2 linked regions of the Rattus norvegicus genome follow. Each later gene encodes a partner of the first gene's protein in a complex. Links are inferred from orthologs where the notes say so. Each region holds a gene or a part of one and is shown in the gene's direction. Other genes may lie near its edges.

Region 1 (6,169 bases):
TTGGCTGCTGAGTCCATGGTGTGCCTCAGGAAGCTGCAGATATGGTAGGAGTGGGGGCGAGAGCCTGCAGTAGCTCAGGCAGAGTGGATGTTCCTTTGACCCTACCAAGAAAGAGGAGCAAAGTTCTTGCAGAGCCCCTTCAGGAAATAAGAGAGAGGGACATAAGCTAGAAGGGATACCTGGGATATGGGGTCCTCTGGGGTTATGGGTTCTACCTCTTTTGATGCCGAGTGAAAGGCTGCGAATCAGCATAACTGTAAGTCCCCCTTCCTGCTCTGTAACGCCCCAAACAGTTTGGTACAGAACTTACCAGATCTGACCGGTGTCCAGTTCTCCCTCCTCTGCAAGTGGCCTTGGCCTTGAGAATAGCCTTCTCTCTCCTGCAGAACTGGGCACACCCTCACTGCTCACGGGACCTGAGGGACTCTAGCTCCTTTGGCACCACCAGCCAAATTCCTCTCCCCAAGGAAACCTCTTTCCCACTTCACAGCCCAGAAGCCCCTTCTTCCCCTCAAGGCCCCTCCCTCTTCAAAGCAGAAAGGAAGGAAGTTGAGTCTCTGGCACTTTATTCCCAACAGGAAAAGCAACTGCACTGAGGTGGGGAGAGCTGGGCGCTACTTCCTGTTGGGTGGGGGCAGCCGTGGACTCCCCGTGATCACCAAGTCTTGACCAGCATACCTTGACTTCTAAGTGCTCAGGAAACACATATGCACACATAAAGCTGACTTAGCCTCAAGCTGGTTTGAAGGATGACCCCCAAGTGTTGGAGTAGCTGCAAAGAACTTGAGAGTATGAGAACCACTGATGAGTGATATGCCTTGGTAGAGGAAAGATCACCTGTAGTGAGGTGAACGTATAGTGGGAGATGGCAGTCAGGGATTGTAAAGGTTATATTGTGGGCTGGAGAGATGGCTCAGTGGTTAAGAGCACTGACTGTTCTTCCAGAGGTCCTGAGTTCAAATCCCAGCAACCACATGGTGGCTCACAACCATCTGTAATGAGATCTGATGCCCTCTTCTGGTGTGTGTAAAGACAGCTACAGTGGGGGCTGGGGATTTAGCTCAGTGGTAGAGCGCTTACCTAGGAAGCGCAAGGCCCTGGGTTCGGTCCCCAGCTCCGAAAAAAAGAACCAAAAAAAAAAAAAAATACAGTCTATATAATAAATAAATCTTAAAAAAAAAGGTTATATTGTTCCTGTAAGTGATAGGGAGCCACAGATGACACTAGACGATGATAATGTTGCACCATCCAAATCTACCCATCAGAATAGACCCTCATTTCCAAGCTGCCAGAAAAGCTAAAGTTCTGAGTCAGTATTGATATCCAAAGGCCTCTATAAGTATCCTTGCTGAGCATGAATACCTCAGGAAGACTACCCCAATTTCAGGCCCCATTATAACTAGATCTTCTGAATTCTGCCTGTTTTACTCTCTTACGAGTGTGAATTTGTGTCCAAGAGGAACTGACCACCATAAAGACATAACCATAAGTGATAATGTTAAAAATAAGTAAGACTTGCCAAGTGGCAAGATGGCTCAGAGATCAAGAGCACTTGCTCCTCTTGCAGGACTTTGATTTCTAGCACCTACCTGGTAGCTAATAAATGCCTGTTAGTTCCAGCTCCCAAATATCTGACACCCTCTTCTAACCCTCCCTGAGCACCTGAGCACCTGTGCACATGCGCCCAAACATACACATACACACACCATCATCACCACCACCACCACCACCACCACCACCACCACCACCACCACCACCATCACCATCATCAAAATAATGATTAAAAATAAAAACCTTTAAAAATCGAAAGATAAATGAGACTTGCAAACATACAGTTCTTCCCATATGTCAGAAACTTGCCTTAAAGGCTTTGCTCATATTCACACACAGGCAAGTACCTTTGCACGGACTAAGTAGTGGTTGGAAACAAGACTCCAGGTCACTGTGAACTGTATGTAGCATGGAGGCCAGAGAAAAATAATGCTGGAACTAAATAAGAGTAGATAGTAGAAGTCCGAAGCAAGCTATTTATTGTTAGTGCTTGCAGTTCTGACAGGAACAACAGGAATTATCTCAGAACAGCAGAGAAGCCTTTAGGATCAGTTTTAAGTAAATAGGATAAGCTTGTGGCTTATGGCTTCCCTTTGCTAGATGGAGTGTTCAGGCAGTTAGTAGTTTGGGAGCAAGTTAGCAAGGAATATTCGGGTGGTCCCTCTTCATTACTGCTCACTAACCTCCTCCATTTCCTACGATACAATTTTTCAGGTTTCTTAGCTGTCCTGAGGAGTTGTTTTCGTTTCCTTTGCAAATGGTACATTTGTCAATGGTCCCCAAAATTTTGCGTCAAGATCTACAGATAGGAATTGCACCAGATACCCTGGGAAGGCGCGAGACGGAAGCGGAAGCAGCAATGATAGCTCCGGTGGCCCGGCGACTAGGAACGGAAGCGGAAGTGGTGCCGCCGCCGGCCTGGCCTGGCCTGGCTGAGGGGAGGCTGGCGGGCGGGCAGGCGCGATGGCGGAGGCCGGGCCACAGGCGCCGCCGCCCCCGGGTACTCCAAGCCGGCACGAGAAGAGTCTGGGACTTCTCACCACCAAGTTCGTGTCGCTTCTGCAGGAAGCCAAGGACGGCGTGCTTGACCTCAAGTTGGTGCGGACCGGGCGGAGGGGCGACTGGGGAGATGGTGGACCAGGCCTGGACCAGTAGCGGGAACCAGCGGGGCGGCCCCACTGAGTCCTCTGGCCGCCATCAGTGTGCTTTCTCACACGAGAGAGGCGGGAGGTTATTTTCATTCACTGAAGCCATTGAGCCTCATCTCTGTCTAGGTCCGGGTTGCAGGTGCTGGCCCTCGTGGCCCTTCGTGACTAGTACAGGGAAACGAGCATCAGAATATCAGAACACAACTCTTCCCAAGACTTCCCAACACACTCCTGGAGTAATTGGAAGGAACTCCAGGGTTGGGAAACAAGACTACCCCCATTCCAAACTAAATGAATCAGGGTGCACACTTAGGAGTGGGGCTAGCATTCTCCATTCTCTTCTACCTGCCAGGCAGCCGACACTCTTGCTGTACGCCAGAAACGGCGGATTTACGACATCACCAACGTGTTGGAAGGTATTGGTCTGATCGAGAAAAAATCCAAGAACAGCATCCAGTGGAAGTGAGTAGGGATGTTTGGGAGGGCAGAAGTGTCAGGGGTGTGGGATGATGGTCATCGGAGAGAGAAGAGGGCAGGGACCCAGAGTTCTTAAGGATCCCACTCAGTCTCTCACTCCTGTGGTTCAGGGGCGTCGGGCCAGGTTGCAATACCCGGGAGATTGCCGACAAACTGATTGAGCTCAAGGCAGAGATCGAGGAGCTACAGCAGCGGGAGCAAGAACTTGACCAGCACAAGGTGTGGGTGCAGCAGAGCATCCGGAATGTCGCAGAGGACGTCCAGAACAGCTGATATCCTCTGGCAGACCCTGCCCTGGAGAGTGGGCAAGGGGCTCTCAGCTGCTTTTGCTCTGTAGAGCTCTGGGCCCTTTACCTCTTGAAAGAATGAGCCTGCAACCCCTGGTCAGATTCAGACATGAGGCTCTGGTCTCTTCCAGTCTTAGCCCATGATCCTTACCCACTTGGACCCCAGGTTCCAGAATTTCCTCTGAGGGCTGTGTGGCAGGCATAGGCATAGGCATTGGGTCTCTTCTGTGATCTGGCGTGGTAAAGGCATCAGCTGTTCTCCTTAACCCCCACACCTTGGCCTACGTGACTCATGAAGACATCTGCAGGTGCTTTGCTGGTGAGCAGAGCCTGGTTAGAGGGAGGCAGGGATGGGACTGAGTGAAGCCATGGAGCTCCCAGTGTTAGGTCCACTGCCCAAAAAAGAAGTTCCGACTCTTGAAGGTTCAGAGTTCCGACTCCGAAGCCAGGCAGCAAGTCTCAGTTTGGAAGTCACTGGGACTCTTTAGAGACCCATAGGGTACAAGAGTCCCCTAGGTTTGCCCTCATCAGCAATGTTCTCTGGGTTTGGTTCTTGTGCATAATGGTGGCACAGAGGAAAAGAGAATTTGTACATGTAGATTTGTGTGCACAATCTTACATACTTGTATGCAGGGGTCGGTGGTGTCCGTTTATAATTTGTACTTAGTTCCATTGTGCATATAGGAACCATTTATTAGATATTCCTTGTGTCTTGGAAAAACTTGGTCAGAACATCTGTTTCTAGGAATCAGCATCATTTGAGGAGTGAGGTGGTGGTACCTGTGGCTGGTGACCTCATTCCAGAATATAAGTATACTTAATCCCAGCACTTGGGAGGCAAAGGAGGGCAGATCTTTGAGTTTGAGGTTAACCTGGTCTACTTTGCAAGTTCCAGGACAGCCAAGGCTACATAAAAATACCCTGCCTCAAAAAGGAGAAAGAAAGAAGTGTGCTTGCATCGAGGTTTTCTGGTTACTGAGTATGAGGTTTTGAGGAGAGAATTTACCCAGTGCTTTAGGATGGTAGAGGCTTAATATTCAGTCTCTTAGAGACTCTGGTCACTTGTCTTTCTCCAGACAAGGCAGGAAAAGAACAGATACTTGAATGAGCTCATGGGCCCTGACACATTCTCCTTGTTATTCTAGGAGATACCCTCCTTGCTATCCGAGCCCCATCGGGCACCAGCCTGGAGGTGCCCATCCCAGAGGTAGGTGCTCATCCCTGCAAGGCAGTGTCAACTGAGGGTGGATACTGGCTGTGAAGCTTGATAAGTTCTGGGTGGGGCAGGTAGGGGAGGCCTGGAGTTTAGGGTTATCTAGGTGGATTGGCAGATGAGGAGAGGACAGTGTGGCTCTGAGCCAGTCAGGCAGGAGCTACGCCTGCTTGCAATTCTGTTTGTTCCCAGGGTCTCAATGGTCAGAAGAAGTACCAGATTCACTTAAAGAGCATGAGTGGTCCCATTGAGGTCCTGCTAGTGAACAAGGAGGCCTGGAGTTCACCACCTGTGGCTGTGCCCGTACCTCCCCCTGACGATCTACTCCAGAGCCCACCTGCTGTGTCTACACCTCCACCTCTGCCCAAGCCTGCCTTAGCTCATCCCCAAGAAACCTCTCGTCCAAGCAGCCCCCAGATAACTACCCCCACTCCTGTCCTTGGCAGCACTGAAGTCTCAGATGTGGCAGGCCAGACAGCTGAGATTGCAGGTGAGACACTATGGTAAGGTGTGATGGATTATTTTTTTATTTTTTGGAGCCTACAAGAAACTGTGTCATGGCATGCTATACTGAGAATTAGAAGTTCCTGGGGTCCCCACTTAGCTTTCCTTGGAGTTACAATGAATGTGCCCCTTTAAATTACTCTGTTCATTTATTTGTGAGGGGGACACATGCTACAGGATGCATGTAGAGGTCAGAGGTGATCAGATGACAACTTGAAAGAATTGGTTCTCTCCTTTCATATTTCTGGGATTTGAACTCAGGTCAGGTTTGTCCATGAGTGTCTTAATTCACGAGGATCTCACTTGCCTGAATATGCCCTTTCTAACAAGGAAGCTTTGACTATATAGGCAGCATTAGTAGGGTAGTTTATCCCAGATTGGACAGTGTCTGATGGATCCTGGCAACCCCATGAGTCTCCCTCCTCCAGGACATGTGCTCTATCTTTAATGATGTTTTCTAGTGCTTCTTGGTAACTAGTGGTGACTAAGTCTCCTTGGATTTGGCTACCAGCACTGTGGTCATCCTGGTCATAGGATCTAGCCTATGGCAGGTGTAGGGTCTATTTCCTGACTCTGTGTTTGGGTTTGGGGATGTGGTTGCAGTGAGTGGTAGCCCTGGAACTGAGAACAAGGGCAGTGGTGAACTCAGTTCACTCCCACTGGGCCTGACAGCACTGGACACTCGACCTCTGCAGTCCTCTGCACTACTGGATAGTAGCAGCAGCAGCAGCAGCAGTAGCAGCAGCAGCAGCAGCAGCAGCAGTTCATCTGGACCCAACCCTTCTACCTCCTTTGAGCCCATCAAGGCAGACCCCACAGGCGGTGAGTACTTACTGAGGGGTGGGGGCCAGCAAGGAGAGTCTTGGAGCTGGCAGTTCCTTTCCTGCTAACCTCTGCTCTCTGCCAGCCAGACAAGGATGCCTAATCTCCAGGTCAGTGCCTGTGCCTCTTGCCCGTTTCTGGGACTTCATCCCCCCTCCTGCCACCAC
Region 2 (6,230 bases), on another chromosome or scaffold:
GCTTAGTAAGTTATCCAGATGTTTGTTGTTGATCTTGTTAAGGTGCTTGCTGGCTTTTTTTAAAATTTTTGTGTATGTGTGATTGTATACAATATGTGTACAGGTGTCCTTGGGGTCCAGAAGGCATGAGATCCCCTAAAGCTGGAGTTAGAGATGGTGGTAAGCTGCCCAGTGTGGGTGCTGGGAACTGAACTCCGGCCCTCTGAAGAGGAGTAAGCTCTCCTGACCTTTGAGCTACCTCTCCAGCCCTGCATTTTATTTTAGAAAGCATTTTTGTTGATTTTTTTCAGTAACCATTTACTAAGTACTAGGTTTCATTGAAGTGTCTTCAGGCATGTCAGTATACAATGTTGCCTTTCACTCTCTTCTTTACCTGCCCTCCTTATCTCTGCTCCTGCTCTCTGGCAGGTTCCCTTCCCAGGCTGGTTTTGAAGTGGTCTCAAGAGATTTTCCTGCCTCTGTTTCTCCAAGAGCTAGGCCTGCATACATGTACCACATGACCACATAGACTACCCTTTATCAAATTGTCATATTACAATAACTCCTAATTGTCTAAGAACTATTTCTGGTCTTTTTCCAAGTCAGTTTAGAGGTTTTTACAACTTGGGTTTTTTTTTAAGAGTATTTGTTCCAAAAATAACATATATGGGAAGAGAAATTCTACTCCTTTGTGCAAAGGACAAAATACCTTAGGATTTTTAGTGACTTGTGGTAATGGGGTAAGGACGAGAGGGGAGCAATTTTTATAAAGGATGTTAAGAGGTTGGCAATGGAAAACGTAGAGAGGAAATGCTGTATCTGTTACTCCAAAAAGACACCAGAATAGCGCCAGGGGAGTGAAGTCATGCCAACCTTCTAAGACCTCCAGCTCACTCTCTTCATGGTCCCATTAAACAACATTCAAACCTGAACCTTTGGTGACTCGGCCAAGAACCAAATGCACGCACACATTTCTGCAGTAGAACTCCTAAAAACCTGATGAACAGACATAAAATTTTATATAAAAGTGCAACAGGAGACATTCCTAGGCTGGATGAATAAAAGACATCGTTGCTTAATGCTGGATTAAGAATCTTGCCGGGAATAGAGCAAATCTTGTGTCAGATTCTAAGTCCGTGCTACGATGCAAACACATGGGAAAGGCTATAATCAAAGCCGGGACCACAGGCCTGAGGCTTCTGTAGCTCTACAACTTCCCTTGGGCTGGCTTCTTTCTGTGCGGTTAAAATCGTAGCCTAGAAGAGTGGAGGGTGTGTTGGCACTTGAGAACTGACTCTGGGAACGTGTCTTCCTAGGGTCTCATCTTCTACCACCTGTTTGGGGAATGTTTAGTAGCGTTAGCAAAACAATAACGCCCTTATTTATCTCGAAAGTTTAACTTCGCTGAGAAAGTTTAACTTGGCCCAGAGCTTGGGAAAAAAACACTAAGGGCCAGAATAGTTGGTAAACGCTAGCAAATGGCTGCCTTTGATGTGAAAAGCCAGGGTACATGTCTAGAGATTCAAAGTTTCTTCTCTGACCCTTGTTCCATGTTCCTACCCCCTCTTACCTCACATAGAGGCTGGATGGGGGAAGGGACGCTCCTGGCAAAGGAAAGTATTCTATAAACAGTAACCAAAAGGAGTTTCTGGGGCCCAGAGGTGGCTGGCACAGAGGTGAAAGGGAGTCCGTGGGAGGAACCAATGAGAGAAAGCAAGCCCGCGGGTGATAGCAAAGACTGAGCTGGACTGAAGGTGGGTGGGTCAGAGCTAGAAAAGGAAAGGATCAGGAGTAAAAGTGGGGTGGGCCAGGCGTGACCGTCCGGGGCTGGATTCCCGGGCCAGGCAATACGGAGTGACAGCTCAAACACACGGGTCTGGTGGAACACAAGGGTCTGCAAAGAAGGGTCTGGGCCAAGAAATCTGTCCAGCAGAAGCATGGTTTAGAGACCGGGCGGAAAGGACCCATTTCTAACGTCATGGTCCCTCGTCGCCACCCTCACTCGCCTGCAGGATCCGGGACCGCACTGCTGCTGCTGCCGCCACTGCCGCCGCCATGGCTCACCAGACTCTGCCCAGCTCCCCGCGCCTCCGCTGCCAGTGCCTCCCTAGAAGCTACAGCGCTAAGCTACGCCCCGAACACAACCTAGCCTCTCCATTGGAGGGAAGGGGCACTTTTCATAACCAATCATGTGTCAGGATTCTTGACTCCACCCATCACTCCCAGCCTTGGGGATAGGTGATTGGTCAAAGGCGGAAGCGTTTTCCTCTTCTCTGACTTCAGCCTATTTTTGTTGGCGGAGATAGGGAGACGCCCCCTAGACTTGGTACTGCATATTAAGCACACGGGGAAGACGCCCCCTAACCGAGAACTCCGATTGGCTATAGGTAGGCCCTCAAGGTCCCGCCCCTTTGCTAAGGAAAGTAAATAAAGTCCTTGAAGAATTTTGCCTGAGTTTCACCTTAACTACCACTCGCGGGTAGGGCTGCTGTCTAGGGTGGGACTAGGCAAATATTACCCTATGAGATAGGGAAACGAGACCGGGCTGTGAGTTAAGGATAGGTTACCCCTGTAAGGGGCGTGGCTTGCGGATCCTCGCTTTCCCGCCGACGGTTGGCCACGTCACGTGACATGGGCTGGAAGATGGCGTCTCCCACAGACGGTAAGAGCCGGCTTGGAAATTGTTGGCCTGTAGTCTCATTATTTGCTCCTCTGGGAACTTCCACAGCCTTCACGCTTACGCTTTTTTTCTTGGGCCCCTCTTCCTTCTCTCCCACTTCTCTTCTTTGGGCTGTGTCGGCTTTTCAGCTAGCAGGTGCCTGGTACCAGGTCTCCCCGCTGTGTACTAGGTAGGTGAAGGAGGCCACCAACCGGTGAGACCCTATCCGGGAAAAGGACAGAGGTCGCTCCGGCCCATCGGTGATGCTGAGGGGAAAGGGAGGGAACTTTCTTTTTGAACAGGCCCATTGGAGTGTTGGTTCTGTTCTCAGTAGAGCTGAGACGAGTCTCTCAAGCTCTATAGCTTTGAGTGGTGACTGACATGAGGTCTAGGGTTCATCCCTGTACCAAGCCGGGAGAGAAGGATGCTTGTCCCCTCAGTTCAGGACCGTTGCCTTGGCAGCAGGGAACCGGGGACCTGGTTTCCTTACCCTGATTCCCGAGGGAATGAAAATTAGCCTTGTTAATGTAGTTTCGCACGCTTCTCAACCCTTAAACCATCACTCCCTCTACTTCATGTGTTGTTTCCTTAGACTGAGGGCAGGAACAATTCTGCTTGTATTTCGTCTCAGGTGGTAAATAGGTGTTTTCGTTATACCCGTATGCTTTTGCTCGCGGTTCTGCTTTAGCATTTGGAATTCTCTTCTGTCATTACTCAGTATCTCAGTATATTCCTTGTCTATTAACTTTGCCCGGGCCACACCCAATTATAAATTCCAAGTCTGTCTTATTTCATACGTTTAATCCTAGGTTCTAGAATAATGCCTGTAAAGCATTTGGCCATAAATAAGTTAACGTTCATCCAAAAGTGAAACTGGCCTTGGTATGTGACCCCTAATTTTAGCTACTTGGTAGATTGAGGCAGGAGGATTGTTGCTTCAGGCTTGTCTAGGCTGCAGAATGAATTGTAGGCAAAATGTGTCTCAAATACAAAGTTGGGGTTTAGTTGGCAGTTGTTGGGTTTTGTTTTATTTTATTTTTTAACCCTAGACAAGGTTTCTCTGTGTAGTCCTGGCACTTGCTCTTTATACAAAGCTGGCCTCGAACTCAGAGCTCCTCCTATCTCTGCCTCCCAAATGCTAGAGTTAAAGGCACAAACCACCACCACCCACCTTCAAATAAAAAGTTTTCTTTTAAAAAGTAAGGGAAGAGTGGCTGGAGAGATGGCTCAGCGGTTAAGAGCACTGACTGCTCTTTCAGAGGTCCTGAGTTCAATTTCCAGTAACCACATGGTGGCTCCCAACCATCTGTAATGAAATCTGGTGCCCTCTTCTGGTGTGCGGGGGTACATGCAGGCAGAACAGTGTATAGGTAATAAATCTTTTTAAAAATGTGAGGATACAGGGGGCTGGAGAGATAGCTCTCAGTGGTTAAGAGTACCTGGTGCTTTTGCAAAAGACCTGGATTCTTTTTTTTTTTTTTAAGGTTTATTTATCTAATGTATATGAGTACTTTATACACCGTAGCTGTCCTCAGACACACCAGAAGAGGGCTCCCATTACAGATGGTTGTGAGCCACCATGTAGTTGCTGGGAATTGAACTCAGGACCTCTGGAAGAGCAGCCAGTGCTCTAAACCACTGAGCTATATCTCTCTAGCCCCAAGACCTGGATTCTATTCCCAGTATCTACATGGCAACTCACAACTGTGACTCTGACCTCCATGGACATCAGGTATGCATGTGCTCCACATATATACTGTGCAGACAAACAGTCATACACATAAATAAATCTAAAAATGAAAAATAAAAAGTAGGGATGTAGTTCAGTGGTAGAGAGCTTGCTTATCATGAACAAGGCAATAGGTTCAGTCTTTAGTACTAAAAAGCATGACTAGATTATATTAAAAATAATGTTACCAGATCTCCCTCCTTTCTTCCTTCTTTCCTTTTTTGAGATAGGGTCTGACTGTATGGCCCAGATTGGCTTCAGACTCACCATCTTCTTGCTTTCCTACCTGTGCTTCCAGTATGCTGGGATTAAAAGTGTACCACTCGGTAGGGCACTTGCCTAGCAAGCGCAAGGCCCTGGGTTCGGTCCCCAGCTCTGAAAAAAAGAAAAAAAAGAAAAAAAAATGTACCACTATGCCTGGCCTCTTACTTGATTTCGAAGTTTCAGGTTTAACTGCATTTTAAGTTTTGAACACATTCACATACCTTAAGGAACTGTGTTCATAATAAAAGAGATTCTCTAGCATGTGTGATTTTTTTTTTCCCCCTAAAACATCCTTTTCTTACTAGCAAAAAAAAAAGTGTTGGTAGGATTTTTGTCGGTTTTTTTTGTTTTGTTTTGTTTTGTTTTTTTTAAATTGAGGTTCATCTTGGTGTCTGTGGAGGTCTACTGAGAACAAGACTTCTAAAAGGTAGGGTCTGGAAGGATGTGGTGCAAGGCCAGTTTTGCTAGATGTGTGAGGTCTCTAGAATCAAAGAGAGCATATAGCTCTTCTTCAAATCCAGGGTGGTTTTATCTGAGATGATACTAAATTCGACTAAGGCAGGAGATGTGCTTATGTGTATAAAAAGTTCACACAGTGACTCCCAGAGGCAAAACTAAACAAGCAGAGTAATCTGGGGAGAAGTAAGTGGGGCCTGTAGAAATGGTGGCAGCCATTGTGTAAATGCCAGTGGATGCAGAATTTATGGAATGCTAGACCCTACACAAATCTAAACTAACGAAAAGTAAACAATTCAAAGAACTGAGGTTTGTGACATTGCAATTTCTTGAGATGGAGAGGGTTGGGAAAGTGGGGTTTGAACAGCAGTATTAAGGGGTTTTCCCTACATGTAAATGGACAGACATCAAGTAGCTCCTTGGACAGGAGAATGGTTGAGCCTTGAGATGTGAATTGTCATTGGTACATGATGGTGAAGTTGTCTTAGATCTGAGTGGCACAGACTGCAAGAGGAGTCACTGAGAAGAAACGAGTGTAGTAGTTTCATAAAAGCAAGAAGGGGAATATCACATGCTATGGAGAGGTCACAGAAGGGAAACAAGTGGGCAGATTTAGCACAGGTGACCTTGATAGCAGTAGTTTCAATGCACGTAGGGACTGAATTAAGATTTTTTTTTTTTTTTTGTAGGTTAGAGAGTGTAGGGCCTGGGAGATGATACATAGTTGGTAAGCATGCTAGCTTTGCAAATATGAGGACCTGAGTTGGAAGCCAGGCATGGTTGTACTGCCAGCATTGTGGGCAGGGAGGGCATGCACAGAAACAGCTGGATCCTGAGAGCTTGCTGGCTACCTAGTTTCTGGTTTAGTGAGCAACTCTGTCTCAAGACAATAAGCCTGAGAGTAAATGAAGACACTTAGCATTCTTTCTGGTCCTTTATAGTCATACACCTACTTGTGCATTCATTATATCCATATACCACACACACATGCACATGTACACAAGTGTGAAGTGGGAGAATAAGGACTACAGGATACCCAGGAGGGAAGTTATGAGTTTAAAGGGAGAGTTTGCATGTTTCTGTGTGTGTCTGCACTCAGCATGCATGTGTGTGTATAACATATGGAGACTCAGTTAATAATAA

The links.
Region 2: E2f4 (region 1) and Lin52 share a complex: the UniProt entries of both Homo sapiens proteins name them as parts of the DREAM complex. The link is inferred for Rattus norvegicus from reciprocal best matches to the Homo sapiens genes E2F4 and LIN52.

What each region holds. Positions count from the first base shown.
Region 1 is NC_086037.1:50,081,907-50,088,075, forward strand, and holds the start of E2f4 (transcription factor E2F4), read left to right. Parts: upstream 1-2,428; 5' UTR 2,429-2,514; coding exon 2,515-2,649; intron 2,650-3,051; coding exon 3,052-3,161; intron 3,162-3,286; coding exon 3,287-3,448; intron 3,449-3,738; coding exon 3,739-3,782; intron 3,783-4,608; coding exon 4,609-4,670; intron 4,671-4,868; coding exon 4,869-5,166; intron 5,167-5,783; coding exon 5,784-6,002; intron 6,003-6,169. Other genes in the region: Exoc3l1 (exocyst complex component 3-like protein), read right to left, coding at 1-17. UniProt on the Homo sapiens protein: Transcription activator that binds DNA cooperatively with DP proteins through the E2 recognition site, 5'-TTTC[CG]CGC-3' found in the promoter region of a number of genes whose products are involved in cell cycle regulation or in DNA replication.
Region 2 is NC_086024.1:109,827,646-109,833,875, forward strand, and holds the start of Lin52 (protein lin-52 homolog), read left to right. Parts: upstream 1-2,603; 5' UTR 2,604-2,610; coding exon of another isoform or gene 2,611-2,622; coding exon 2,623-2,641; intron 2,642-6,230. Other genes in the region: Aldh6a1 (methylmalonate-semialdehyde/malonate-semialdehyde dehydrogenase [acylating], mitochondrial precursor), read right to left, coding at 1,986-2,036.